Linked DNA regions of Mus musculus. The protein of the gene in region 5 interacts with the protein of the main gene of each other region in a pairwise test. Links are inferred from orthologs where the notes say so. Each region holds a gene or a part of one and is shown on either strand. Other genes may lie near its edges. The genes, in order: Tcap, Pkm, Pdhb, Tnni2, Trim63, Usp13 and Gmeb1.

The links.
Region 1: the proteins of Trim63 (region 5) and Tcap interact in a two-hybrid assay, tested with the Homo sapiens proteins (3 studies listed by BioGRID and IntAct). The link is inferred for Mus musculus from reciprocal best matches to the Homo sapiens genes TRIM63 and TCAP.
Region 2: the proteins of Trim63 (region 5) and Pkm interact in a two-hybrid assay, tested with the Homo sapiens proteins (3 studies listed by BioGRID and IntAct). The link is inferred for Mus musculus from reciprocal best matches to the Homo sapiens genes TRIM63 and PKM.
Region 3: the proteins of Trim63 (region 5) and Pdhb interact in a two-hybrid assay, tested with the Homo sapiens proteins (2 studies listed by BioGRID). The link is inferred for Mus musculus from reciprocal best matches to the Homo sapiens genes TRIM63 and PDHB.
Region 4: the proteins of Trim63 (region 5) and Tnni2 interact in a two-hybrid assay, tested with the Homo sapiens proteins (2 studies listed by BioGRID and IntAct). The link is inferred for Mus musculus from reciprocal best matches to the Homo sapiens genes TRIM63 and TNNI2.
Region 6: the proteins of Trim63 (region 5) and Usp13 interact in a two-hybrid assay, tested with the Homo sapiens proteins (2 studies listed by BioGRID and IntAct). The link is inferred for Mus musculus from reciprocal best matches to the Homo sapiens genes TRIM63 and USP13.
Region 7: the proteins of Trim63 (region 5) and Gmeb1 interact in a two-hybrid assay, tested with the Homo sapiens proteins (2 studies listed by BioGRID and IntAct). The link is inferred for Mus musculus from reciprocal best matches to the Homo sapiens genes TRIM63 and GMEB1.

Annotation. Positions count from the first base shown.
Region 1 is NC_000077.6:98,382,572-98,385,453, reverse strand, and holds Tcap (telethonin), read right to left. Parts: upstream 1,644-2,882; 5' UTR 1,608-1,643; coding exon 1,498-1,607; intron 1,303-1,497; coding exon 909-1,302; 3' UTR 501-908; downstream 1-500. UniProt on the Homo sapiens protein: Muscle assembly regulating factor. Mediates the antiparallel assembly of titin (TTN) molecules at the sarcomeric Z-disk.
Region 2 is NC_000075.6:59,670,076-59,673,575, forward strand, and holds part of Pkm (pyruvate kinase PKM), read left to right. Parts: intron 1-391; coding exon 392-662; intron 663-1,499; coding exon 1,500-1,650; intron 1,651-1,845; coding exon 1,846-1,998; intron 1,999-3,500. UniProt on the Homo sapiens protein: Catalyzes the final rate-limiting step of glycolysis by mediating the transfer of a phosphoryl group from phosphoenolpyruvate (PEP) to ADP, generating ATP.
Region 3 is NC_000080.6:8,165,491-8,167,741, forward strand, and holds the end of Pdhb (pyruvate dehydrogenase E1 component subunit beta, mitochondrial precursor), read right to left. Parts: intron 1,365-2,251; coding exon 1,223-1,364; intron 992-1,222; coding exon 846-991; 3' UTR 501-845; downstream 1-500. UniProt on the Homo sapiens protein: The pyruvate dehydrogenase complex catalyzes the overall conversion of pyruvate to acetyl-CoA and CO(2), and thereby links the glycolytic pathway to the tricarboxylic cycle.
Region 4 is NC_000073.6:142,440,632-142,444,615, forward strand, and holds Tnni2 (troponin I, fast skeletal muscle), read left to right. Parts: upstream 1-1,184; 5' UTR 1,185-1,237; intron 1,238-1,837; 5' UTR 1,838-1,859; coding exon 1,860-1,867; intron 1,868-2,059; coding exon 2,060-2,066; intron 2,067-2,539; coding exon 2,540-2,581; intron 2,582-2,671; coding exon 2,672-2,800; intron 2,801-2,939; coding exon 2,940-3,029; intron 3,030-3,274; coding exon 3,275-3,451; intron 3,452-3,583; coding exon 3,584-3,679; 3' UTR 3,680-3,779; downstream 3,780-3,984. UniProt on the Homo sapiens protein: Troponin I is the inhibitory subunit of troponin, the thin filament regulatory complex which confers calcium-sensitivity to striated muscle actomyosin ATPase activity.
Region 5 is NC_000070.6:134,318,120-134,321,619, forward strand, and holds part of Trim63 (E3 ubiquitin-protein ligase TRIM63), read left to right. Parts: intron 1-1,512; coding exon 1,513-1,681; intron 1,682-3,063; coding exon 3,064-3,159; intron 3,160-3,500. UniProt on the Homo sapiens protein: E3 ubiquitin ligase. Mediates the ubiquitination and subsequent proteasomal degradation of CKM, GMEB1 and HIBADH.
Region 6 is NC_000069.6:32,911,626-32,915,125, reverse strand, and holds part of Usp13 (ubiquitin carboxyl-terminal hydrolase 13), read right to left. Parts: coding exon 3,465-3,500; intron 1,028-3,464; coding exon 905-1,027; exon of another isoform or gene 655-904; intron 246-654; exon of another isoform or gene 139-245; coding exon 112-138; intron 1-111. UniProt on the Homo sapiens protein: Deubiquitinase that mediates deubiquitination of target proteins such as BECN1, MITF, SKP2 and USP10 and is involved in various processes such as autophagy, endoplasmic reticulum-associated degradation (ERAD), cell cycle progression or DNA damage response.
Region 7 is NC_000070.6:132,258,750-132,262,721, reverse strand, and holds the start of Gmeb1 (glucocorticoid modulatory element-binding protein 1), read left to right. Parts: upstream 1-1,172; 5' UTR 1,173-1,231; intron 1,232-2,121; exon of another isoform or gene 2,122-3,972. UniProt on the Homo sapiens protein: Trans-acting factor that binds to glucocorticoid modulatory elements (GME) present in the TAT (tyrosine aminotransferase) promoter and increases sensitivity to low concentrations of glucocorticoids. Also binds to the transferrin receptor promoter.

The DNA.
Region 1 (2,882 bases), on a different chromosome or scaffold from region 5:
GGCCAGACACCCAGGCTGGGATGGGGATCATCACAACAGCTGCAGAGGTCACAGACAGGAACTTAAACCCTGTCCTCCCACCCAGGCCAGGGACAGTGGGACACCTGATGCCAGCCAAGGATTGATTCTGTCTGGATCTACAACTGACAGGCCTTAGGGTCACTGACCCCATCCACACCCCAAGGCACAGCCAAGGACGGCCCTGGTGCCAGCCCCTTCCATAACCTCCTCCACAGATATCATTTAAACAAACCTTGAAGCCAGCTGGCCTGCTAGACACGCTCCAGTGCCAGGAACTGGACATGAAGCCAGGGCTGGGCAGTGGCACAGGAAGGGGGACCAGACATTCCCCCTGTTTACAGCTCTGCCCCTGTACCCCACCCCTAAGCATGGAGTGTACCCTCTGGTTATGCCAGATTTAGCTCCAATGCTTGGCTGTTCCCAGAAGTGCACGGTGGACATTCATGCCCACCCCAACCACAAAGAAAGAGAGAAGCGTGGAACATGGCTGAGCATTTATTGCAGTGCTACCAGAGGGTGCTGGGGGCCTGCCCACTTCCACCCTCTTCACATCCCCCTCCTTTCCAGAGCGTTGCACATCCTTCTCCTAGTCCATCTGTTCCCGAGCAGGCCATTCCCAGGGGCCTCTCCTCTCACCAGGATCTCTTGTCTCTTCTTCTGGGGCTGAGGGTGCTCAGCTCTCCACTCCTAGTGCCCGCCATCCTCGCTCCCTTCCCTGTGGGGACTCAGGACACCTAGGCATCCTGGCCTCGGGCTCCCTCCTCCCATAGCTCCCACCTCTGGGCAAACTACAAAGCAGCCACTGCCAGCAGCTCTCCTCCATTGTCCTAGCCAGGAAGTGCCTAGCCTGAGACAGACACAGTGGAGTCTGAGTCACACAGTCCATCTCAGCCTCTCTGAGCTTCCTGAGACATGGATCGAGACAGGGTACGGCGCAGGGGCCCGGGTTTGCTGACTGGCACCACAGGGGGAAGCTGCTTTGTGATCTCAGCCACGTCCTGGCGCTCCACGCACTGGCCGCCCAGGGCCGTCTCCAGGGCCAGCAGCTCCCGAAGCTGGATGGGGGTCTCCTCGCGCTCCTCCTTGGAGGCCCCCACCTTGGTGGGCGTGAAGATGGGTAGGGGCAGCACCCGCTGGTACGGCAGCTGGTATTCCTGTAGCCCACGGCCGAGGATACCCAGGCGCATCACCAGCCATGGTGAGCGCTGTACCACCGCCTGACACTGTCCCTGCCGGTGGTAGGTCTCATGCCTCTGTGTATCCTCCTCGTGCAAGGAGCATCTGAAAGTGGAAAGGAGACAAAGGTGGTGAACTGAGGGCAGCTCTTCTCTGGTCTTGGGCTAAGTGGGGTCTCCCTGGCATAGCTAGTTCCCTGGAGCAGGGGAGGGGCCCCAGAAACTTCAGGGGCTTGTACTCTGATATGTAGCAGGTGCTTTGGGGGAGCAGAGGCAGAGCCTCCCAATGATTCACACTCACCCCTCTTCCGGCCGGGTAGACAGAGTCAGGTCTTTCCACTCAGCCCAGAAGGCTTCCCTGCGTTCCTGGTTCTCCTCAGACACTTGGCAGCTCAGCTCTGAAGTGGCCATGATTTCTGATTGCTCCCTCTGCTATGTCCTGCTCCTCCAGAGCCCTTTAAATAGCCCCTTCTTCCCCCTCTCCCCCTTCTCCAGGGGCTATTTTCAGCCCCTCTGGCGTCAGATGCTATAAGCAGAGCCAAGACTCACTGGTGGTGATGGGGCTCTGAGTCCGGGGCGGGGGTTGGGGTACCCAGATTCTGGTTGCTCCCAGGTCAGAGGTCAGCTTTCAAAGCCTGCAAGATGCTCTGTTGGGGACCTGGGTTCTCAGAGTAGCACCTCTGGGTGTCTGGCATGCTGCAAACACCACCTCGGACCAGGCACATGGGCAGCCTCGTGCCACCTTGGCACTGTCTTCCTCTGCTCCCCCCTTGCTCAGGGAGGACAGCAGCTTGTCTGTAAACAGAACAGGAGAAGCAGGAACTGATGCCCTCCTCGATCTGCCCCATGCTACCCGGATCGTCTCTCCTTCCTGAGCTCAAGGGCACATACCATAGTGAGGTCCCTTGACCAGAAGGATCACATAACCGAGTCTTCGGGTTGCCTGTACAGAAAGCAACACACCAGCAGGGGAGAGGACACTTCTGCCACACCCGACCTCTGGGTATGAGTCTGTGAGCTTTCATTCCTCAGGGCCAATCATTAGAGAAGTGTTCTCCTAAATCCCACCAGTCGGGGTGAAGGAGGTAAGAGTGGGGGAGGTGGCCCCTTCTCCTCTGCCTGCATGGAGAGAAACACTGTGAGACAGAAACAGAGAAAGCCCATTGAACAGGGTTAGGAGATCCAGACCAGCCTCAAGCTGGCTCTATTTTATATAATCATGGAGCAGTCTCTACCCCTTTCCAAGTCTCCCTTTATCTGCTTTTCTTTCTCTTTCTTCCTTCCTTCCTTCCTTCCTTCCTTCCTTTCTTTCTTTCTTTCTTTTTTTCCTTCTTTCTTTCTTTCTTTCTTTCTTTCCTTTCTCTTCCTTCCTTCCTTCCTTTTTTCTTTTTCTTCCTTCCTTTCTTCCTTCCTTTCTTTTTTTCCTTCCTTCCTTTTCTCTCTCTCTCTCTTTCTTTCCTTCCTTCCTTCCTCCCTTCCTTCCTTCCTTCCTTTCTTTTCTTTCTTTTTAAAAAGATTTTATTTAATTAAAGTATATGAGTACACTGTCATGTCTCAGACACACCAGAAGAGGGCATCAGATCCCATTACAGGTGGTTGTGAGCCACCATGTGGTTGCTGGGAATTGAACTCAGTGCACTTAACTGCTGAGCCATCTCTCCAGTCCCTTATCTACTTTTCTAGCCA
Region 2 (3,500 bases), on a different chromosome or scaffold from region 5:
AGGGCTATACAGAGAAACCCTGTCTCGAAAACCAAAAAAGAATGTACACCACCTCGTGTGGCTATTTATTTGTTTATTCATTAATTTGAGGCAAGGTTTCCCTTTGTAGCCCTGCCTGACTTGGAATTAACTGTGTGTGTAGACCAGGCTGGTCTTGAACTCAAAGGTCTGTTTGCATTTGCCTCTTGTGCTACCATACCTAAAACTCAAATTTTCTTAGCAGTTTGTAAGTAAGTATTTATAGGTGAGAAAACTGACTTGGCTTTCCTGAAGTGTTTTGTTTGGTTTGGTTTTTGTTTTGTGTGTGTTGGAGTCTTAATTATGGCTTTAGAGTCCTCCTCCCTCTGCTTCTTGTAAATTGAGGTGGTCTTCTGTGATCCCTTTCACACAGGCGCTGACTTCCTGGTGACGGAGGTGGAGAATGGTGGCTCCTTGGGCAGCAAGAAGGGCGTGAACCTGCCGGGCGCTGCTGTGGATCTCCCCGCTGTGTCGGAAAAGGACATCCAGGACCTGAAGTTTGGGGTGGAGCAGGATGTGGACATGGTGTTTGCATCTTTCATCCGCAAGGCAGCCGACGTGCATGAAGTCAGGAAGGTGCTGGGAGAGAAGGGCAAGAACATCAAGATCATCAGCAAAATCGAGAACCATGAAGGCGTCCGCAGGTGAGTCCTGAGACCCTTCCATTGCCCAGCCCTTGAGAGGGGTGTGGCCATGGTGTGTCCTGGATACCTGCTCAGCAAAATACAGCCTGCTGGGATTGGTCCAGGCGGACATCTGAATCAGCATTAGGGAGGCCAAGTATTTTTAGTCATCATTTTGGGACCCGGCTGGATACTCAAGGGCCTCAGATGTCCATGCTAAAGCTTGAAGCCTTAGAAATCTTCTGGTCTGATAATGGTGCTGATGAGGAGTGGCCCATTCAGCTTCCCATAGAGAAGCATGATGCCTACGTAAATGGAAATTAATTAAGGTGGCATTCATAAGGATGAGTGGTTTATTGACAAATGTTCATACTTGGCTTTCTCCCTACTGCTTCCCCTAGAACTGCTTCTGTGGGTTACAGTGGGCTTGGCTCTGTGTCCTTTGTACTGGGCAACTGGGAGTCTCTTTCTATCTTGATAAGCCATAGGTGCTGATGGCCTTGGTATTTGGGGCTGGGGAGTGGGTCAGCTCAAAGGGCAGCAGTCAGTGCCCTTAGCTAAATGATGATCCACTTTGTAGAAGATCCACTGGCCTCATTCTGTCTTTGAAGTGTCGATTAGGGAAGTACAAAACGGGGTGGGGGGTGAGATGCAGACCAAAACCTCCCTGAAATATTTATTATGGTGTTTAAGAAGTCCAGCCAGTAAAATTGTTGTGCTGTGAGTATTATCATACTGTGCTGTGGATGCCCCCTCGCCTGTGTGCCCCTGGGTGTGACCTTTGAAAGCATCTCTGTCGGGATCCCAGGTACTTTGGTTGTGCTTCCTGTCCTCTATTATCTTTCTCTTCTTTACCAGGTTTGATGAGATCTTGGAGGCCAGTGATGGGATCATGGTGGCTCGTGGTGACCTGGGCATTGAGATTCCTGCAGAGAAGGTCTTCCTGGCTCAGAAGATGATGATCGGGCGATGCAACCGAGCTGGGAAGCCTGTCATCTGTGCCACACAGGCATGTGCTATTTCATTCCTTCTGCATTCTCCACCTAGGAGACCTGGCCTTGTCCTGTCCTTTGGGCACACATAGCTGTGATCTGTGCACCTGCACAATCTTAAGGGAATTATCTTGGCAATTATCACTGAAGATGGCCTAGGATCTCATTTAGTGATGGTCTTTTACCGAGAGCCCTTGTCTGTCCCCTCCTAGATGCTGGAGAGCATGATCAAGAAGCCACGCCCCACCCGTGCTGAAGGCAGTGATGTGGCCAATGCAGTCCTGGATGGAGCAGACTGCATCATGCTGTCTGGAGAAACAGCCAAGGGGGACTACCCTCTGGAGGCTGTTCGCATGCAGCACCTGGTAAGTCCTCCAAGCCTACCACCAAGGCCTCTGCATCACCCAGTCTTTTACCTCCCTCCGACCACGGCCAGAAGAGTGAGGTGTGTGGAGCATGCTCTGCTTCTTGATTTTCACGTTGTGCTCTCGCTGCCTGCGCCCCACCACGTTGTCCTGCTCTGGCGATTACCTTTTCCATTACGTAGGCCACATCTGGCTAAAATATTAAAGTCCTAGGACTTAGTCAAGGGATACCTTCCTCCCTCCTGAACACCCAGACGGCGGGGCGGCCTCTATTCTAAAGGAGCCAAGAGTGTGTATTCTTGGCTGTTCGCCTGGTTTGGCTTCTAATTTGATCTCTTGATGGTCCCATGAGCAGATGCTTCTCTGCACTGCAGGCTGTAGCCATACTAAGCTGCTTTGAGCTGGCCTTGCATGGTGCCTGTCACATGGGACGTCTCTTGCTATGCCAAACCCAATGTAGGGCTAGAAATAGCTCTGGGCGTGGGGAATGGGTGCTGAATTTAGCAGGTTCTGGACTGGAGATTATAAAGACTTTCTCTGGGCAAATCTATGCTCTTTTTGACTAAGTCTTCTGGTTTCAGTAAGATAGGGTCTGGAGGTCCAGCATTCAGAGCCTGAGGCAGGAAGATAGCTTGAGGCTAGGCTGGGCTAGAATAAGGCATTATCTTACAGAAACAACAGACTTCCAGCTGACCTGACTCCTGCTGACTGTGATGGGTGAGGACCCAGAACTTCCTGAGCAGAGCAGTTAGCTAGGGCGCCAGTTAGGACCTTTCCTTGCCTCATGAAAGCATTGTTGGCTAACTTTCTTGGAGCTTTTCTATTCCCTTTTCGGCCAGCAAAGAACCACTGTTCTTTTTGTGTCTCCAGTTTCCAATAAGCCCCCAAACTGAAAGAAAAAAAAGCCCCCTTCAGGATTAGACATCTTACCTTGCTTCATTTGTGTACAGCTGTTAAGTAGATTCCATGATCTACCCATGGTTTATCTGAATTGTAGCTGTAGCCAGATGTGTGCCTATATTGAAACAGACCAGCCGTTTTGTAGAAGCTTGAACTCAGCTTGTCTCAGCTGGTCACCTCCTGATCTGATTGGTATTGGGAGCTGATCTTCACAGCTTCTCAGTAGCTAGCATGCAGACATTCCTTCTCCAGCAGTCTGTGTGCCTTCCTGATCTACACCAAACCCCCTTCTTTTCTAGTCACCTGCTTAGTTGTCTTATCACCTCAGAGTGGTCAGGAACAAGACCAGGTAGTCTAAACCATGCAGTCACATACATGGATTTATCTTTGTATAGCTCTGGGTGACTTATATGACCGCAAGACCTTGCCCAAGGTGGCATTTGATGAGATTAATTATAATTAATTAGTCATAACATTAAACAATTTACTGCCATAATGAAATGTTAGATAACCCTCTGGGCTCATTGATGTAATCTTTGCATTCTCATTTTCTTTTTAAAGGGAATCACATGTGATAGTGTGTTTGAGCACAGATTTGCTAT
Region 3 (2,251 bases), on a different chromosome or scaffold from region 5:
TCTGGTTTTAGTTCTGCAGTTTGGGGCAAAGTTTCAGACATAGGAATAAAAGCAATAGAGTTCTGTAGTAGAGCGCTTGGCTATTACGAGCATTGCTCTGGAAATAAAAAGCTTCAATTTGGGCCAGGTGTGGTGTCACACACCTTTAATGCCAGTTCTCTGGAGGCAGAGGCAGGTAGATCTGTGAGATCCTGAGTTCTGGGCCAGCCAAAGACACACTGAAATCCTCTAAAAAACTACTCTAAGAATCTACAGTTTTTATATACAGCATATCAGTTATTTGACACTAATATACGTCTATACGTATGTATGTAGTTTTTCAAGGCAGGATTTCTCTGGGTAGCCCTTGCTATCCTGGAACTCACAATGTACTCCATGCTGGCTTTGAACTCAGAGATCTACCTGCCTCTGCCTCCTGAGGCTCACTCCAGAGTGCTGGCACTAAAGGCATGGGCCTCCACCACCCAGCTTGACACTAATTTCTTAATAGTACTCCAAGACTTCATTGGTGGGAATCCCCTTTATTCCTTATCAAAACAATTAAACAGCAAATGTAGATAATATACTTCTTAGACATATAAGTTACCTTCTGTGGGGGCATTCTTATCTTGCCCCTTCCAGTGAAAGAGGGCAAATTTAACTTAAACAGTAACAGACAAAGCAGAGTATCTAGGGTAGGGAGTGGACAACATTCCACTCATAAGCACATTGAAACTTCTTACAGTTCAGACACCTGCTGTCACTTCAGCATTAACTTTATGACTAGCAGTCTCGCAGTACACATCAGGTGAAGTCCCAACAAGGATTTTAAATAGATTTCAATGACTTTACATTCAAAGTCCGAATCAGATGTTCAGAGTCTTCTTTACTGCAAATATGATGTCTTTGACCTGAGGTACGGAGTTGTCTTCTAGGACCTTTGCGTAAGGCATAGGGACATCAGCACCAGTGACACGCACGGCAGGGGCATCAAGGAAGTTGAATGCAGGGCCTAAGGAAGAGAGATGGCTCACCTGAGAGGCAGACTCGGGACTCAAGAAGAGAATGAATCGTAGTTACAGGACTCTACTTTTGGCTTGACTTTTAAAAACATTTACCCAAAAGACAAAACCCTAGACTGACAAGTTGAAAATTCACTTGGTCACCCCTAGCTTTTGATCTCTTACAAGTCGGCATTCAAGTACAGCTTGATTGTGTTCTAAAACCAGGTTCTTTGAAATACCTTCCATAATTCTGGCACAAATCTCAGCTCCTACTCCAAATTGTGGCCAGCCTCCTTCCACAGTCACGAGATGATTTGTCTTCATCACACTGGCTTCTATGGCTTCGATGTCCATTGGTCTGATGGTGCGCAGATTTATTACCTAAATGAAGACAAGGCAAGGAAACAGGCTTTGTGGAATCGGAGAAACAGGTACACGACTGTATCGACTAAGGAAAAGCAGTACAGTGCCACACACCTGTAAGCTCACCACTTAGGAGGCTAAGGCAGGATGACACTGTGTTGGCAACACAGTGAGATCTTATCTCAAACAAAAGTAAAGGGGGAATTTACAATTAAAGCCTGTCACCCCATCACAGGAAGCTTTGCTCACCTATAGAATTCATTATCCTCCTTGGTTTCAATATCCCTCTTATCAAAAATATAGTTGAGAGTTTAATATGCACTGGGCCTACAGCATGATCCCCTATGGTTGAGAGGTCCTATTATCCACATTTTATAGCCGACGAAGCACAGCGACACTTCCCAAGAAGCACTACTTGATACACAGGATAGTAAAGTCCAGCTGCCAGTCTGGATCTTCTGACTGGACACACACACACACAGGTGACCTCCAGTTTCTTCCTCAATTGCTCTCTTCCTTGTTTGTTTAGAAATGGTCTCACTGAATCTGGACCTGGCTGGCTAGACTGGCTGGCCAAGCTAGCAAGCCCAAGGGATCCTCCTGGCAGGGTCTCCGCAGTGCTGGGTAGCAAGCCCATGCTGCCACCCACCCCTGCCATTGTTCTTATGTGAGTGCTGGGATCCGGACTCGGCTCCCCATGCTTGAGAGCAACTTCACTAAGCCACTTCCCCAGCCTAACAAGACTGGGTCTTAACTTGAGACCCAGAGTCTGTGTGCGGAACAGCAGCCACTTTTGGCTGTAAGCAGAGACAGACTGATGACAGAACTCAAGGTGGCCTGGAAACCATGATTCTACTTCTCATCTTCTGAGTCTTGGGATTACAGGCATCAATTCATAGCTTCTG
Region 4 (3,984 bases), on a different chromosome or scaffold from region 5:
AGAGGGCAATTGAGGGGGAGTTGTGGGTAGGTACAGCTTGTGGAAAAGACCTCAAGACCATGAGGGACTGTGATACAGTGTCTTATGCACTATCAGCAGGGGGCAGTAGATGTCTTTGGAAGCTGCTCTGGAGCCTTTGGGGGCTCACAGCCCTGGCTTGTGATATACCTCTTAATCCCAGCACATCTGGCGGGCTTTAGCAGCTCCAACCCTCCTCTGATCCCCAGGGGCCCCAGAGCAGCAGGGTTGGGGCCAAGCCATGATCTGGTGTCTCTGGGTGGGGTTCAGAAGCGGGAAAGGAGTAAGGGCCTGGCCCCAGTGAGCCGGGCAATGCAGGGCCTGCCTAGGCAACCAAGGGCCCTGAGCCCCCACAGGTCAGAGAAAGGTTCCTAGGGCGGTGGCACCACTCTCTGGGGTTGAAGGACATGTTTCAAGTTGCCTGTGCAGAGGCACCCATGGGCAGGGTGTGTGGCAGGCGGAGAGAGGCCCGGCTGCTGGTCCAGGGACCCTTTTGCTTCTCTCTTCCTGGGCAGAAAGGCAAGTTCACTATAAGAGGTGGGCACCACTCTCCTGAGCCCTGACTGCCTTCCACACAGGGCCTAAGAGAATGCTTTTGTTTTTGTTTGGTGTGTGTGTGTGTGTGTGTGTGTGTGTGTGTGTGTGTGTGTGCGCGCGCGCATGTGCGCTCAATTTTGCAGGAAGACTGGTGAGGTGAACAGTCAGCCCAGGGGTCCAAGCAGGGCATGAACACCCAGCAGGCAATGAGCGGCCAAGTGGGTGCAAAACTACAAGACCACACATACCATTTGACAATGACTCCAGTTCAGCCTACTTTTGGTGAAGTCCGGTTTCCTTTGGAGGAAGACTTCAGTGGATGTTTGAGCTGGGTACCTTGGAGACCCACATGGAAGGTTACCCTTGCTGTCCTGAGGGCTCTTGCAGGAACAAGGCTGGCATCTTGAACTCGTCATTGAGACATAAATAGAGCAAACCACCCCCAACTCCCCACCCCAAGACTTCTTGGACAGGCCAGCGCCTGGGCTGACCGGCCAGGCGGCTGGGCAGGTGGAGAGGCTCTCCTCCTCTCTGTGCCCCCATTGGTCTGAGGAGACTCCATGCCCTTTCTGAGCAGGGGCCCGGCCCAGGGAAAGCAATTTATACCCCTCCCCCTGGCCCACCAGCCCAACTCACTGCTGCCGGCCTGACCTCGCTCCCAGCACTGCTGCACAGCATCTAGGTGAGGCCCAGCCCATCTTCTTGAGGTGGGAGACTAGAGCACTACTCAGGCTGGCTCATAGGAGGACTTCCCCGGGCAGGGGCTTGGGGGTTTGGGGGTCTGCTGCCGACAGCTCTCTCTGAGGTCTCCCACAGATCTAGGGTTGAGAGCAACATGTGCTACTAGGATAGGACAGGGGTCTACAATGGGCCTCGGATAACAGGCCCTGTCTCTGGGGACACACAAGCAGGAAAATGTTCAGGTCAAGCAAGTAGGGACCTGAGCCCCCAGGCCACACAGAAGAACACTTTCTTCCGTGCATTCACTTCTCAAGCCAAAGGAGCAAGAGTTAAAAATAACAGGCTCACCCTGGCAGCCACCTGTGCTGGCCAGCCCCACCCCATCCCTCCCTCGGGGACAGCTGCAGCTCCTCAGGCCCCGCCCGGGACATTTTGGGAACACTTTCTCCTCTTACTTCTCATCTTCAGGGTGGGGGTGGGGGGTGATGTCCTCTGAGAAGGTCTGAGTTGCGGGTAGAGCAGAAGTAGCCTAGCAAGGCCAGGTCTCCATGCCTAGCCTCACGCAAGGCGGACACTGACACCATCACCTCTCTCCCCACAGGATCAGAGCTTGAGATCTCAGGATGGGAGAGTAAGTGATACCCAGGGTGACCCGTACTGCAGTCCCTCACCAGGGCTTGGGTCTCCTATCTCCCTGCCCTTTGTGGCTGCCGCCCAACCCTTCAACCCCATCAAACCCTAGGTTTCATGGCTACTCCTGTGAGCCACAGTCTAACTTCTCTTTTTTTCTCCCACTCCCACCTCCCTCTTCCTCCTGGGACAGTGAGGAGGTGAGTATCACTAGAGGCTATAATAGTCCCCTGAGGCTAGGACAGAAGACACCCCTGTCAAGGCCCCCAAGTGCCCCACCCCCTGAACTACCCCCAGAGAAAGAGAGGAAGTGCCTGCCTGGTGCTTTATGAGGCAAGGGAAGTAAGACTTGGGCCTAGTCACAAGGGAATCACTTCTCCTTTCTAATTTCTGTTCACCACTCACCTTCCGGGCCTCCCCTTGCCCACAGTCCCTGAGGCCTGGCTATATCCTGCCTCCTTATCCCCATTACCCCCTTCAGCCCTATGTACCACCTAAGCAAAGAGTCAGGACCACAGGCATGTGTCCCTGAAGCAGGCCCTGGACTAGGGAAAAACACCAGGGCCCTGGGCAGTGGCCTTGTTATCTCCTTGGGAACCCCAAGTCAGATGACTCTAAGCAGGTCAGAGCTCCAGCTAAGGCCTGACTCTGACCCCTCTGTCCTGTCCTGCAGAAGCGCAACAGGGCCATCACGGCCCGGAGACAGCACCTGAAGGTAAGGGTGGGCTGCTGCAGAGGCCTGTGGATATAGAGGTAGGGGTGGGAGTTCACTGCAGACCCTCACTCCCACCATTCTGTTTCTCAGAGTGTGATGCTCCAGATAGCGGCCACAGAGCTGGAGAAAGAGGAAAGCCGCCGAGAATCTGAGAAGGAGAACTACCTGTCAGAACACTGCCCGCCACTGCACATCCCAGGCTCCATGTCTGAAGTGCAGGTAGTTCCTTCCTGCCCCGTACCACCCAAGACCCTACTATCCCAACTCCTCAGCAGGTCAACCCTCCTGATCAGGACTGGGAGGGAACAATGATCCTCAGGTATCAGGGTGGCCACCCACCCACTGCTTGCCCACCCAGGAACTCTGCAAACAACTGCATGCGAAGATCGACGTGGCTGAAGAGGAGAAATATGACATGGAGGTGAAGGTGCAGAAGAGCAGCAAGGAGGTGAGAGGGAGGAGCCCGTGGTGAGGGGGTGGGGCATATGGCATGGGGAGGAGCCAATGGTGAGGGGGTGGGACATATTGCATGGGGTGGAGCCAGTGGCTTGCAGGGTAGCACAGGCGATATGAAGGTGGAACCAGCTGCTATGGGATGAAGCCAGGTGATGAGAAAGTAAGGCCAAAGATACAGGGCAAGATCAGGGACATGGAGGCTGTCAGGCTCCTAAACCTCCTGTTCCTTCCTCCCAGCTGGAAGACATGAACCAGAAGCTATTTGACCTGAGGGGCAAGTTCAAGAGGCCCCCACTTCGGAGGGTGCGTATGTCTGCCGACGCCATGCTGAAGGCGCTGCTGGGCTCTAAGCACAAGGTGTGCATGGACCTGAGGGCCAACCTGAAGCAGGTCAAGAAGGAAGACACTGAGAAGGTAGGTCAGGGCCCAGGGGAGAGCCAAGAGGGAGAGTCCACTTACAGTCCCTTTCATAGATAGTAAAGCAAGGCCAAGGGTAGTCTGGAGCAGACTGGAGTGGATCTGAGACCTCTCTGGTCCTACCCTCAGGAACGGGACCTGCGTGACGTGGGTGACTGGAGGAAGAATATTGAGGAGAAGTCTGGCATGGAGGGCCGGAAGAAAATGTTCGAGTCTGAGTCCTAACTGCCCACTTCCCCAGTACCACCCTAGCATTGGGGAAGCACCCAACATCCAGTCTGGGAGTACTTGGCCTCGCTCCAATAAAGGATTCACATCTCTTTCACAGTGTGGTCTAGTTCTGTCTCTGCCCACTCTGGAGTCCATCATCAGTGACCAGCAGTGTGGCAGGAGAGAGGCCATACTGCTTGGGTAGAATTCAAAGACCCTGGGCTGTATCCTGTAACTGGTGGGTGTGGTCAATGTCTGGACCTGTCTAACATGACAGAACGTGGAGAAAGATGACCATGGACTCCAACATATCTGAGTGG
Region 5 (3,500 bases):
ATGGCCCATGTGTGGAGGTCAGGAAACAACTTTGTGGAATCAGCCCTCTCCTTCTGCCTTTGTGAGTCCCAGGGAAGGAACTCTGGTTGTTAGCCTTGTGCTGCAAGCACCCTCATCTCCTGCGCCATCTTCTCAGGCCTCAGATGCCTATTTTGGGTGGTGATGATGATGACAAAATTTATAGTATATTCATGTTAGCCTAATGCTAATGCCTTCCCTGGGCATCGCCAAGATGGTGTGGTGCCAGGGAAACCCCCATCATGATGGCCACAGTGTGGGGTTCCTGGGCTCAAAGATGAAAAAAACCAAAACCAAGTGTTTGGAAAGAGGCTCCTGAAGAGGGCAGAAAAGCCTGGCGTGACCAGCAGGGCTGTGGGAGGGGCCACACGGACCTGTGGGGGATGCTCACTGTTGGAAGTGAATTGCTGTAAGGGACTGGGGGGGCAGGGGGGAGTGAAGACACGGCAGCCTATCCTAAAGGAATGGAAGATCTAGTTAGCCTCAACTCTAAAACCCCCGTCTAGAATGGGAAACAACTGATGTTGGAAAGCGACATCCCAGGTACCCTAGTGGAGGAAGCCATAAAGGGAGAAGACAGAAAGAAGGAACTCTGGGGTCGGCTAGATGGCTCAGTGAGTAGAGGTGCTTGAGGCCAAGGCTGATAACCAGAGTTCTATCCCCTGAGCCCACATAGTGGAAGGAGAGAACCAACTCCTTCAAGCTGTTCTCCAACCTCCATGGATGCCGTGTGGCACACATACCCCACCCCCAGTACACATATACTAAATAAATGCAGTTTTTAAAATTATAGAAGAGACTCTGGGCCCTGGAGAGCCTTTGTGTAGCGCCCCCGACCACGTGATGCTTGTATGGCTTAGAGTGCACAGGCTGCCTCATTCTCTGAACTCCAGGATGCCCTCAGGGTGCGTTTACTGACGTACTCTTTCTACCTGCATTTTGCTTCCATGGTCTCCACACCAGGTACTGTATGTTATAGACTCAGGGAAGAAATACAGGCAGGCTTCCCTGCCCAGTTGGAGGATACAGTCTCATAGATTAAATATAGACGTGAAGGCTGCCATCAGAATAAACGGCCCAGGCCCCAGCAACCAAATCTACGGGGCTAAAATTAGAGCATAGGAGTTCTGGCCTCTCTGGCTGTGCTGCTGGGCCACCTTGGGCAAGTCCATTTATTTGCTGCAACTCCATTGCGTCTCCCACCCTGTGAGCATCTTCTGGTCTGACTGAAATTCTGGGGGTCGCCCCATGCCCTCTGTAACAACTCAGGTCAGGTCCAATGATGGAGCAGAGCCTGAGTTTAAAGGCTGGAAACAGATTTGCTTGCTAGCATTAGCTACCTTGACCTTGGGTTCCCAGAAGTTAAATAGGAGAATGTTTGGAGCAGCTTGACCCACTGGGAGCTGACGTACGGATGCGTGGCTTCCTGTGCTCGCAGCTAGGATGGGGCAGGCAGATGGGACAACCCTGACCTGTGACTCTCCTCCACCTCAGTCGGCCCCTGCAGAAAGGCAGCCACCCGATGTGCAAGGAACACGAAGACGAGAAAATCAACATCTACTGTCTCACGTGTGAGGTGCCTACTTGCTCCTTGTGCAAGGTGTTTGGGGCTCACCAGGCCTGTGAGGTTGCCCCTTTGCAAAGCATCTTCCAAGGACAGAAGGTACTGGCTACAGCTGCTGTGCCCTGATGATTCTGGGGGTGGACTTGACCCTTGTGGATGTGCTGAGCCGGCCTTTCAGGAATAGTCCCTCTGGAGGGACTTCCCAGGCCACAGGGACAACAGCCGTTGCCTCCCTGGGGGAGGTGGCTGAGCTCATAGGTTATACTTAGAGCCACTTGAGAGCACCTGGGTGTGACCAGAAGGAAGAGGCCATGGCTTCCCTGTCCTGTCTGCTAGTCTGTGGTCCCAGACCTCTCCACCAGAGCCTCTCTTGAAGTCTAAGGCAGCTTTGAGGCTCTTCCCTGGACCATGGCAACCCAGCATCCTGCCATGGAGTGAGCTGTAGCCCTACTTTCTGAGCAGTGTGTTTGTAACACTCCACTCGGCTCTCTCTGCTAGAACTTTCCAATTCTGTTCCTTCTCTCAGAAAGTAGCAGCTGGGGATGGTAGTGCAGGCCTTTAAGCCTAGCATTCAGGAGGCAGAGACTGGATCACTATGAATTTGAGGTCAACCTAGTCTATACTAGTCTATATATTGAGTTCTGGGCCAGCCAAGCAGCACAATAATACCCTGTCTTGAGAGGGGGGTGGGGAGGAAAAGGAAGGAAGGAAGGAAGGAAAGAAGGAAGGAAGGAAGGAAGGAAGGAAGGAAGGAAGGAAGGAAGGAAGGAAGGAAGGAAGGAAGGGGGGCTGGTGAGATGACTTAGTGGTTAAGAGCACTGACTGCTCTTCTGAAGGTTCTGAGTTCAAATCCCAGCAACCACATGGTGGCTCACAACCATCCATAATGAGATCTGATGCCCTCTTCTGGGGTGTCTGAAGACAGCTACAGTGTACTTACATATTAGGAAGGAAGGAAGGAAGGAAGGAAGGAAGGAAGGAAGGAAGGAAGGAAGGAAGGAAGGAAGGAAGGAAGGAAGGAAAAAGAAAAAGAAGGAAGAAAGAGAGAGTGAGGGAGAGAAAGAGAGAAAGAGGAAAAGGAAAAGAAAGAGAGGAAGGAAGGAAGGAAAGAAGGAAGGGAGGGAGGAAAAAGGAAAAGAAGGAAGAGAGAGAGAGCGAAGGAGAGAAAGAGAGAGAGAGGAAAAGGAAAAGAAAGAAAAGGAAGGAAGGAAAGAAGGAAGGAAGGAAGGAAGGAAGGAAGGAAGGAAGGAAGGGGTTTTCCTTTGTCCCTTTGTCAGTGCCTTGCTGTGTGTTTTGGGTTGCTTGGTTCCCCTCTCTGGGCCTCATCTATCCATAAAGGATACATCTGTGGTAGTCTCTGCTTTAGACCTGAGCTGCACCCCAGAAAGAGGGATAGCGACCCTGTTGGTGACTGCTATAACACTGGAGAAACAGCGGGCTCTGAGTCTATTTCTGTCTCTCCCCCCCCCCCTCCCATCCAGACTGAGCTGAGTAACTGCATCTCCATGCTGGTGGCGGGCAACGACCGAGTGCAGACGATCATCTCTCAGCTGGAGGACTCCTGCAGAGTGACCAAGGTGAGGGTGCAGAGCTGCCCTGCCCTGCCAGCGGTGAGGGGTTCAAGCCTCCAGCGCAGCTGCTCTCTGGGCAAGTTCTGAGCTATGAGTGCAATTTGGGTTTGGATCTTGGGTGCAAGATAGAGATGGCAGGAAAGGACACAGTCATTTCTTCATTCCCTCGGTGAACACAGCAGCTGTGTCTGACCCTGCTGAAGGACAAGACAGACCCCAGTTGGTCCCTGACTGCAGAGACCCAATTACTCCCTGAATGTTTCCAGCGTTTTGCTGTAGAGCAAGACTTTAAAAGCTCACACTTGACTCAGGACTATGGAAACTCAGGGGCTCTGGAATGATACAGA
Region 6 (3,500 bases), on a different chromosome or scaffold from region 5:
TTCACCTAGTGCACAGACATGCAGCAAGCCACTCATATATATGTAAGTTTTTAAAACATGGCACACTGGCAACAGATGTAAGACACAAAAAGCATTTTAAAAGATACCTACGGTCTATCAACTGGTTCATCAAGCGGTCTGGAAATGAAGGGACAGTCAAAAGTGAGAGCGAGCTAACCATGGCCAACAGTTTTAGATAAGAGATTCCCAGACCCTCTCACTCCTGGTTACCCCACACACACCACCTGCAAAACACAGTTCATTACAATAATGAGGGGAAACAGCAGGCTTTGGGCACTTAGATGCAAATAAAACAGGAAGTTCTGACAGCTCGGTGAGCTAAATAATTACGATCCTTGCATGTATTTGTAAGAGCACTGTCTAACTGCAAATCAAGGGTTCTGCCTGAGCTTTATTGATAGGAGCAGTGTGGAAAACCACCTTGGCCTTCTCTCACGCTCAGTATCGCCTGTCTGCAAGCCCCCTCTGGAACCACCTGCCGACAGGACTCCAAATCAGTGACGTCGTCACAGAGTGTACGTGTCTCAAGTTCACAGTGGCAGCCAGGTTTCATTCCTATGTGTCTAGGATGACCTCACGGGAAGCAGATTGGTGGCAAAACACAGTGACTGTTCCAGGCTGGTGGAGGAGAGAGTGTCCTTCCAACTGGGCAGTGGTTCTCAACCTTCTTGATGCTATGACCCTCTTGTGGTGACCCCCCCAACGACAAAACTATTCTCGTTGCTACTCCACAACTGCAATTTTGCTACTGCCATGAATTGCAATGTAAATATCTGATGTGCAGGATATATGACATGTGATCCCTGTGAAAGGGTCATTCAACGCCCCCACCACCAAGGGTCGCGACCCACAGGTTGAGAACCACTGCAGTAGGCGATGGTACCTTTTGAGTCATCAGGAATGACTATGGGGGGGCTGATGTCAGGAAGCTCCTCTTCCCCTGGCTGCAAGCCCCTGGCTCTGAGATGGCTGATATCTAGTAGGTCTGGCATATCAATAGAAACATCTGCAAAACAAAAGATCATATTCACTGGACTCTCCCGCGCCCTCGGTCAGATCATTATAAATCTGCTTGTGCTCACTGCATGCATGTATGTAGCCAGCCTACGGGACACTCAGCACAGCAGACTTGTCAAGCCACATGGGAGGTTATTGGAGGGCTCAGGGGAAGGGCAGAGAGTGGTGGGACAGAGGTGCCAGACTGGACAGCAACAGGTCAGGTGAGCCAGAGATCACAGACCGGCAGCCCAGGCTATCTGTGGCCCAGACTCATTCCATTTGGTGTTCTTGAGATATGGACAGATTTAATGTTAAAATGCAGACTTCTGGATTTCAAATACCACAAAGCTATAGCACATTCTCCTGTGTTAACTGTCTGAGCTTCCCCTCAGCTTCCGTTCTGGACAATGGTGGCTGCTGTGACCATTTCACACTGATGCCACTGCTCTGAACTGCCCCAAACATGAACAGCATGCTTATGGAAAAGCACATCTTCCTAACCCATGTCGTAAGGCACAGCGGAACCCTCCGAGAGGGTGGCTCGTGTACCCTTTACCCAGCAGCTCTCCTTTCCTGGGTGCTGCTTCCCCTTCCTTGCACATCTGAGTTCGAAAATCCTAATTGATACTTTTTCTCGAATGGTGACAGTGACTGTGATGATGCTAAGTTATAAATCACAAAGCTCAAAAGAACCTGGCTGAACCTTAAGTGTCTTAAGCATCCGTGGCTGCTCTGGGAGAAAAATAAAGCCCTCATGCCTCAGTTGCCACTACATTCGACTTGCTCAAATGCAAGATTTATAAGCCTAACAGCTGCTGCAAGGCAGTGCTGCAACCTATGCAACTAGGAATAGAAATGAGTCTAAGTACAACTTAGCTTTGTCCTTCAGACCTGGAGACCAACTGCCTCCAAATGACGCCAAATATGTAAATCCTATTTAAGACAACAAGGCAGGTTGGGCATGGTAGCACATGCCTGTAAACATAGAACTTGGGAAATGGAAGCAGGAAGATCAGAAGTTCAAGGCTACCCTCATCTGCACAGGTGAATTCAAGGCTACCCTTGGCTACATAAGATCCTGTCTCAAAAAAAAAAAAAAAAAAACAACTAAACAAATAAATGAAACAATAACCCAAGAACAAAAGCTAAGACAGAAGAGTTAAATTTTAAGGACCAGTAAAACTAAACACAAGGTCAGATTCACAAAACGGACACAACTGTTCCTTAAGAGAAAAATCCAGGCCCTACCTTGAGATTCCTTTAAACCTTGGTCAATAAAATCCGGCTTCCTTTTTGTTCCTTCACAAAAATTCAAAAGGAAAAGCAAGCAAACAAACAAACCAAAAACCCCGTCCACAGCAATCCAAAGCCTGAATGGGTCAAAATTCTCAAGTATCTCAACCTTCTCAGAGGCCAGTGGAGAACAGAGTGGTCAGCACCCTGCCCTCAGACCCCCTCTGCTCCCTAAACTCTCCCAGCAAGAAAATCAAGGGTCTCCTGGGCACTGGGAATAGCTCAGCACAAAGGGTGATAAACTGGCACTCTGTGCCCACCAGCACCAGGCCTCCTCAGAAATCATGCTGGCTGTTCTTCCTTCTGTCTCCAGGTCCCCTTCTACCCGTGTTTGGATGACTCTTAAGGCTTTCATCGTTTTGTTGTGTAAGTGCCCAAAAACAAGTCTGTAAGAGACTGGCAGTTTGAAGTCCTTGCTAGAGAAGCTACACGGAGTGAGATGCAAATCCTTGCACAAGCCTGGAGGTCACTTAAGACTGCTCACATTCAACCCTGGTGGCTAAGGAAATGGTCTTTATGCCTTATCTGGAAAATGGGCCTCCCACACTGACCAAGGACCTTGAGTATTGATGAAAAGGCAGCCAGTGAAGCCCAAACCACATCCTTCTATCAACTGTCCAAATCCAATGTTTCCAAGTGGTTGGGAGGAAAATGTGTATGATTTAGATGAATATCACATACATATAGTACTGCTGTATCTCAGAGGCAGGGAAGGGTGCTAAGAGGAAGTTATACCTCCAGCTACCTACTACTACAAGTGTGGCGTCTGGACTGTCAATGCCAACACCATGCGGTAGGTTAGAAACATGGTCGCTCAGCCCACCTACACCTGCCAATCAGGATCTGCATTTTCCAAAGATCCCAGGTGACCTGTGTGCACAGTAACTTCTGAGATGCGCTGTCGCAAGGAGTGTACTTCCCCTCTGAGAACCTGATCCTCCCAGAGCTCAGTGGTGAGGGTGTGGTTAGCATATGGTGTTTCTTATGGTAGTGTTTCTCCTAGATTCTGGGTCCAGAGAAACCTGGGAGTAACAGAGGAAACAATGGGGTGGAAGGGACGGGGCAGACGTTCCCACAGCCTCTTTCACATGCCATGTCTGGTTAGGTGGCTCACTCTATAGTTTAAGCGAAAGCATGCAAAGGATACCTACCAAATTTTCTGGGAACCCAGTCAAGACCAAAAGTGA
Region 7 (3,972 bases), about 2.1 Mb from region 5:
TTTCTGAGTTCGAGACCAGCCTGGTCTACAAAGTGAATTCCAGGACAGCCAGGGCTACACAGAAAACCCTGTCTCAATTAAAAAAAAAAAAAAAAAAAAAATCACTATGTAGGTTCGAGTGGTGGAACTCAGGTGGTCAGGAGCCTGCACCCAACGTGCCATCTCTACACACACACACACACACAGCCCACAACCTGCCCTTTGGAAGCAAAGAAGACAGATACAACACAATGTCTATAGGAAGAAAGATGGGAAATAACCCTTGTGGGTCTTCTGCACGTGTTCTACCTACCGACCTACTTCCCTCCTCACACCCCTCATCTCTACGTTTGGCTTGCTTTTTTTTTTTGAGACAAGGTCTCATTATGTAGCCACAGCTGGCCTAGAACCCACTATGTAGACCAGGCTAGACAGGAATTGTGGAATTAAAAGCGTGTACCACCAGCACGTGCCGACGTTCCTGTTTAACTTTCAAAGATGAGAATGAAAGAGTAAGGTGGCTCTGAGGAATTTATAAACCAAAAGCATCTAACCCCAAGGCCTGACCACATTGCCTTAAAGCTTGTCAGTTACTATTCCCCGGCCTCAGAAACTTGCCCAAGTACTTTTCAAGTATCATTTCATTGTACATGAACGACATGTACCTTTCGGGAAATAGGTGGCTTAGAGTTGTCAAGTCACTGCACAGTTGTTGTACCGGTTCCAAGGAAGTTCAAATTTGAACTCCGAACCCGGACAAGCAGGAAAACCTGCGCAAAGAGCCATGGTTTGGACGCGGGAAGGGGTTACTATCTATGCTCAGCAGCATCTTTTCATTCCACATTGGTAACCTGAAATCCTGATAAATTGTAAGCGTCAATAAAGAGGATTTGGAGAAAGAAAAGCCCTAGTCCTCCACAAGAGTCAGGGCGAGATGACCTCTGCATCTAAACCTTATTCAGTCCCCTGGGGCCTCCCGCGACTTCTCCAACACTGCCTTTCTAGGACCGAAGGCCTAAGCTCTCAGGCTCCCCTAAATCGCTAGGCTGAGGGGGGAGGTGTATCCCCTGCGCGGCCCGCAATAAGGACGCGTCCCCTTTAAGGCGCCGGCTCGCCCGCCGCGGCGGCCGGAAGTGCTGGAGCCCGGCTTGGCGGCGGCGGTGGCGGCGGCCGCCGTGGCGGCTTTGTGCGCATGCTCCGTCGCCCGCCCGCCCTGGCCGCTCGCCGCCCGCCCGCCCGCCCGACGGAGACGGTGAGGAGGGGGAGGGGTGGGCGCGCGGCGCGGCGAGGGCTGGGGGCGGGGGGGGGCGGGCGCGGGGGCCGCGCGGCGGCCGGCGACGGCGACGGCGAGGGCGAGGGCGAGGGCGGGCGGGCGCGCAGGGGGCGGGGGGCTGCTGCCTCCGCGGGCGCCTCCCCACGCCCTGTGCGTGCCGCCGCCGCCGCCGGGGAGCGAGCGGACGTCGCGGCGCCGCGGGGGGGGTGGGGGGACGCTGCCGCTGGGTCCGCCCGAGCCGCCGGGCCGCCCCCAGCGTGGCCGGCCGGGCCTAGGCTCCGGGTCCTACGAACCCCGTACTGGGCGGGGGTTGGGGGGGTGGGGAAGGCTCGGCGCCCCCGGACCGAGGGGCCCGGAAGTCCTCGCGGAGGGGCCAGGGGAATCCCTCCCCACCCCAAAAATACGGGGTTTGGGAGCTTGGGCCTTGCGCGGAGGAGCTGGGTCAGGCCTGGGTCGGGCCGGGTCGGGGGAGAGGGCGGCGTGCTGGGGTGGGGGTGGGGTGCAGGGAATAGGGTCAAGCCTTCGCCCGAGGGGAGAGGCCTGGGCCACCAGACCTGGAGAGGAGGAGGAGGAGGAGGAGGAGGAGGAAGGTCCTTTGGAGGGCTTAGGAGAGGAGGCAGCGTCCTTCCCAAGATGAAGGGCAGTAAGAAGGAGAAGGGTCCCCGTGAGGGCTTCAGAGTGGAGGGCCTCCGGTGGCTAGGTGGAGAGTAGGGTGGTTTCCTGCGTCAGGAGACGAGGGAAGCCTAAGGTTATGGGGTTAGTGAGAAGGTACTTGCTGGGAAGAGGGTACCCCTTGCTTTCAGAAATGACAGGGAATTGGCCAGGTGTCCTCGGTTTGAGAGGCAAGAGAAATGTGGGCAGAATCTTACCCGAGGGTCTTGACCTGGCTGTCCAAGGAGCAAGGAAACCCTGAGCTCTCAAAATGCGACCTGTTACTGACTCTAGGAGAACCAGGAAGTAGGGGTTTTCTCCACATCTGTACACTCTTGCCATCTGCCCAGCCCCCTTTCCTTGGCTAGTATTATGGAACGTTTTCATAAGAGCTTGGGCCTAACGCTTCTAATTTTTCAACCATATAATAACTTGTTTTTCTTTTATACTTAAGTTCATTGAGTAGGTGTATTTGAGCTTTGTTGGGTTAGTTTGGGCCCTGTTTTGATTTCTTACACTCTTAGAGGGGTGACTTTTAAAAACGTATTCCTTGATTCCTTCAAACACCTATATAGGAGTCTCCATCCAATCTGTGATTTATATAGAACTTCACTTCCTCTGGATACTTCCTGCAGAGTGAAATGACCTTGGGTTCATTATATCTGAGTTCACTTTGGCTGAACAACCAAGTGCATACGGTGGACTTAGTGAGTTTTGTGCTTAAGTAATAAAGTTGCAAATTGGAGACTTGTTGTTGGTTTTGGCTATTTATTTGAGACTGGGTTTCTCTGTGTGGCTCTGGCTGTTTTGGAACTGGCCTCCAATTGTTTAGGTATTTGAGACAGGGTATCTCTGTAGTCCTTACTGGCCTTGCACTCAAGAGATTTACCTGCCTCTGCCTTACGAGCGCTGGGATTAAGGGCATATGCCATCATTGCCTGGCTTTTGTTTGTTTCTTTTTGAGATAAAGTCTCCTTTTAGTTTGGCTGGTGTCAAACTCAAAAGAGATTTCACCTGCCTCTGCCTCCAAAATATGCCAGGCTGCTCTGTATGTTAGTTATTTGACACCGGGGCTCACTATGTAGCCCTGGCTGGCTTTGAACTTATGGTAGTCTTGCCTCAGATGCCCAGGTTCGTGCTTGTAGATGGGAGATGATCATACCAAGCACGTGCTTGCTTTTCTTTTCTTTTCTTTCTTTTTATTTTCTTGGCATCTTTCTCTGTAGCTCTGGTTTGACTGGCACTTGCCGTGTAGACCAGACCGACTTTACACTTGCATATCTTTCTGCTTCTGCCTCTCCTGGGCTAAGATTTTAAATTTAGATTTATTACCTGGCACGGTGGCACACGCTGTTCTTCCTGTCCTCACTCACTTGTAAAGCAGCAGCAGGCAGATATCCTAGTCTGAGGCCAACTACATTGCATGTTCCAGCCTGTGTCTCAAAACAACAGCAAAAATGTATATGTTCCTGTCACTGTCTGTGTGTGTATATTGGTGTGTCTGCCTGCCTGCCTGCCTTGCTGGTATACTTGTGGAGGTCAGAGGACAACACAGGATTTGAGTCTCTCCTTCCACTGCCTGTGTCCTTCAGATCAAACTCAGGTTTTTATGCTCCATAACAATAGCCTGTCTTTACCTTCTGAGCCATCTTGCAGGCAGGCACCCATCTCCTTTTTTTGTTTTTGTTTTTATTTTAAACAAAGGTTTTGTATAGTCTCAGCCTTCTTATGTAACTGAAGATGACCTTGAATCCCTAACACTTCTGCTTCTACCCCCAGAGTGCTGCTATGCCTTGTTCCTGCTCACTTTAAATATTCTTAAGTTTATAATGCTATATGCATAATGTTGGGAGGGGTGCCTGTGCCATGGTGTGCAGGTGGGTAGAGGCTGGAGGATTTTATGGAGTTGGTTCTCTCCGTTTATCTTTACATGAGGTTTAGAGTTATAACTCAGGTAACCAGGCTTTTTTTTTTTCTTCCCTGAAAATAATTGCAGAGCAGCAGCCGGTTAGCACTTGTCTGTAATCCCAGCTCTCTGTAGACTGAGCCAGGAGGATTGAAAGTTCAAG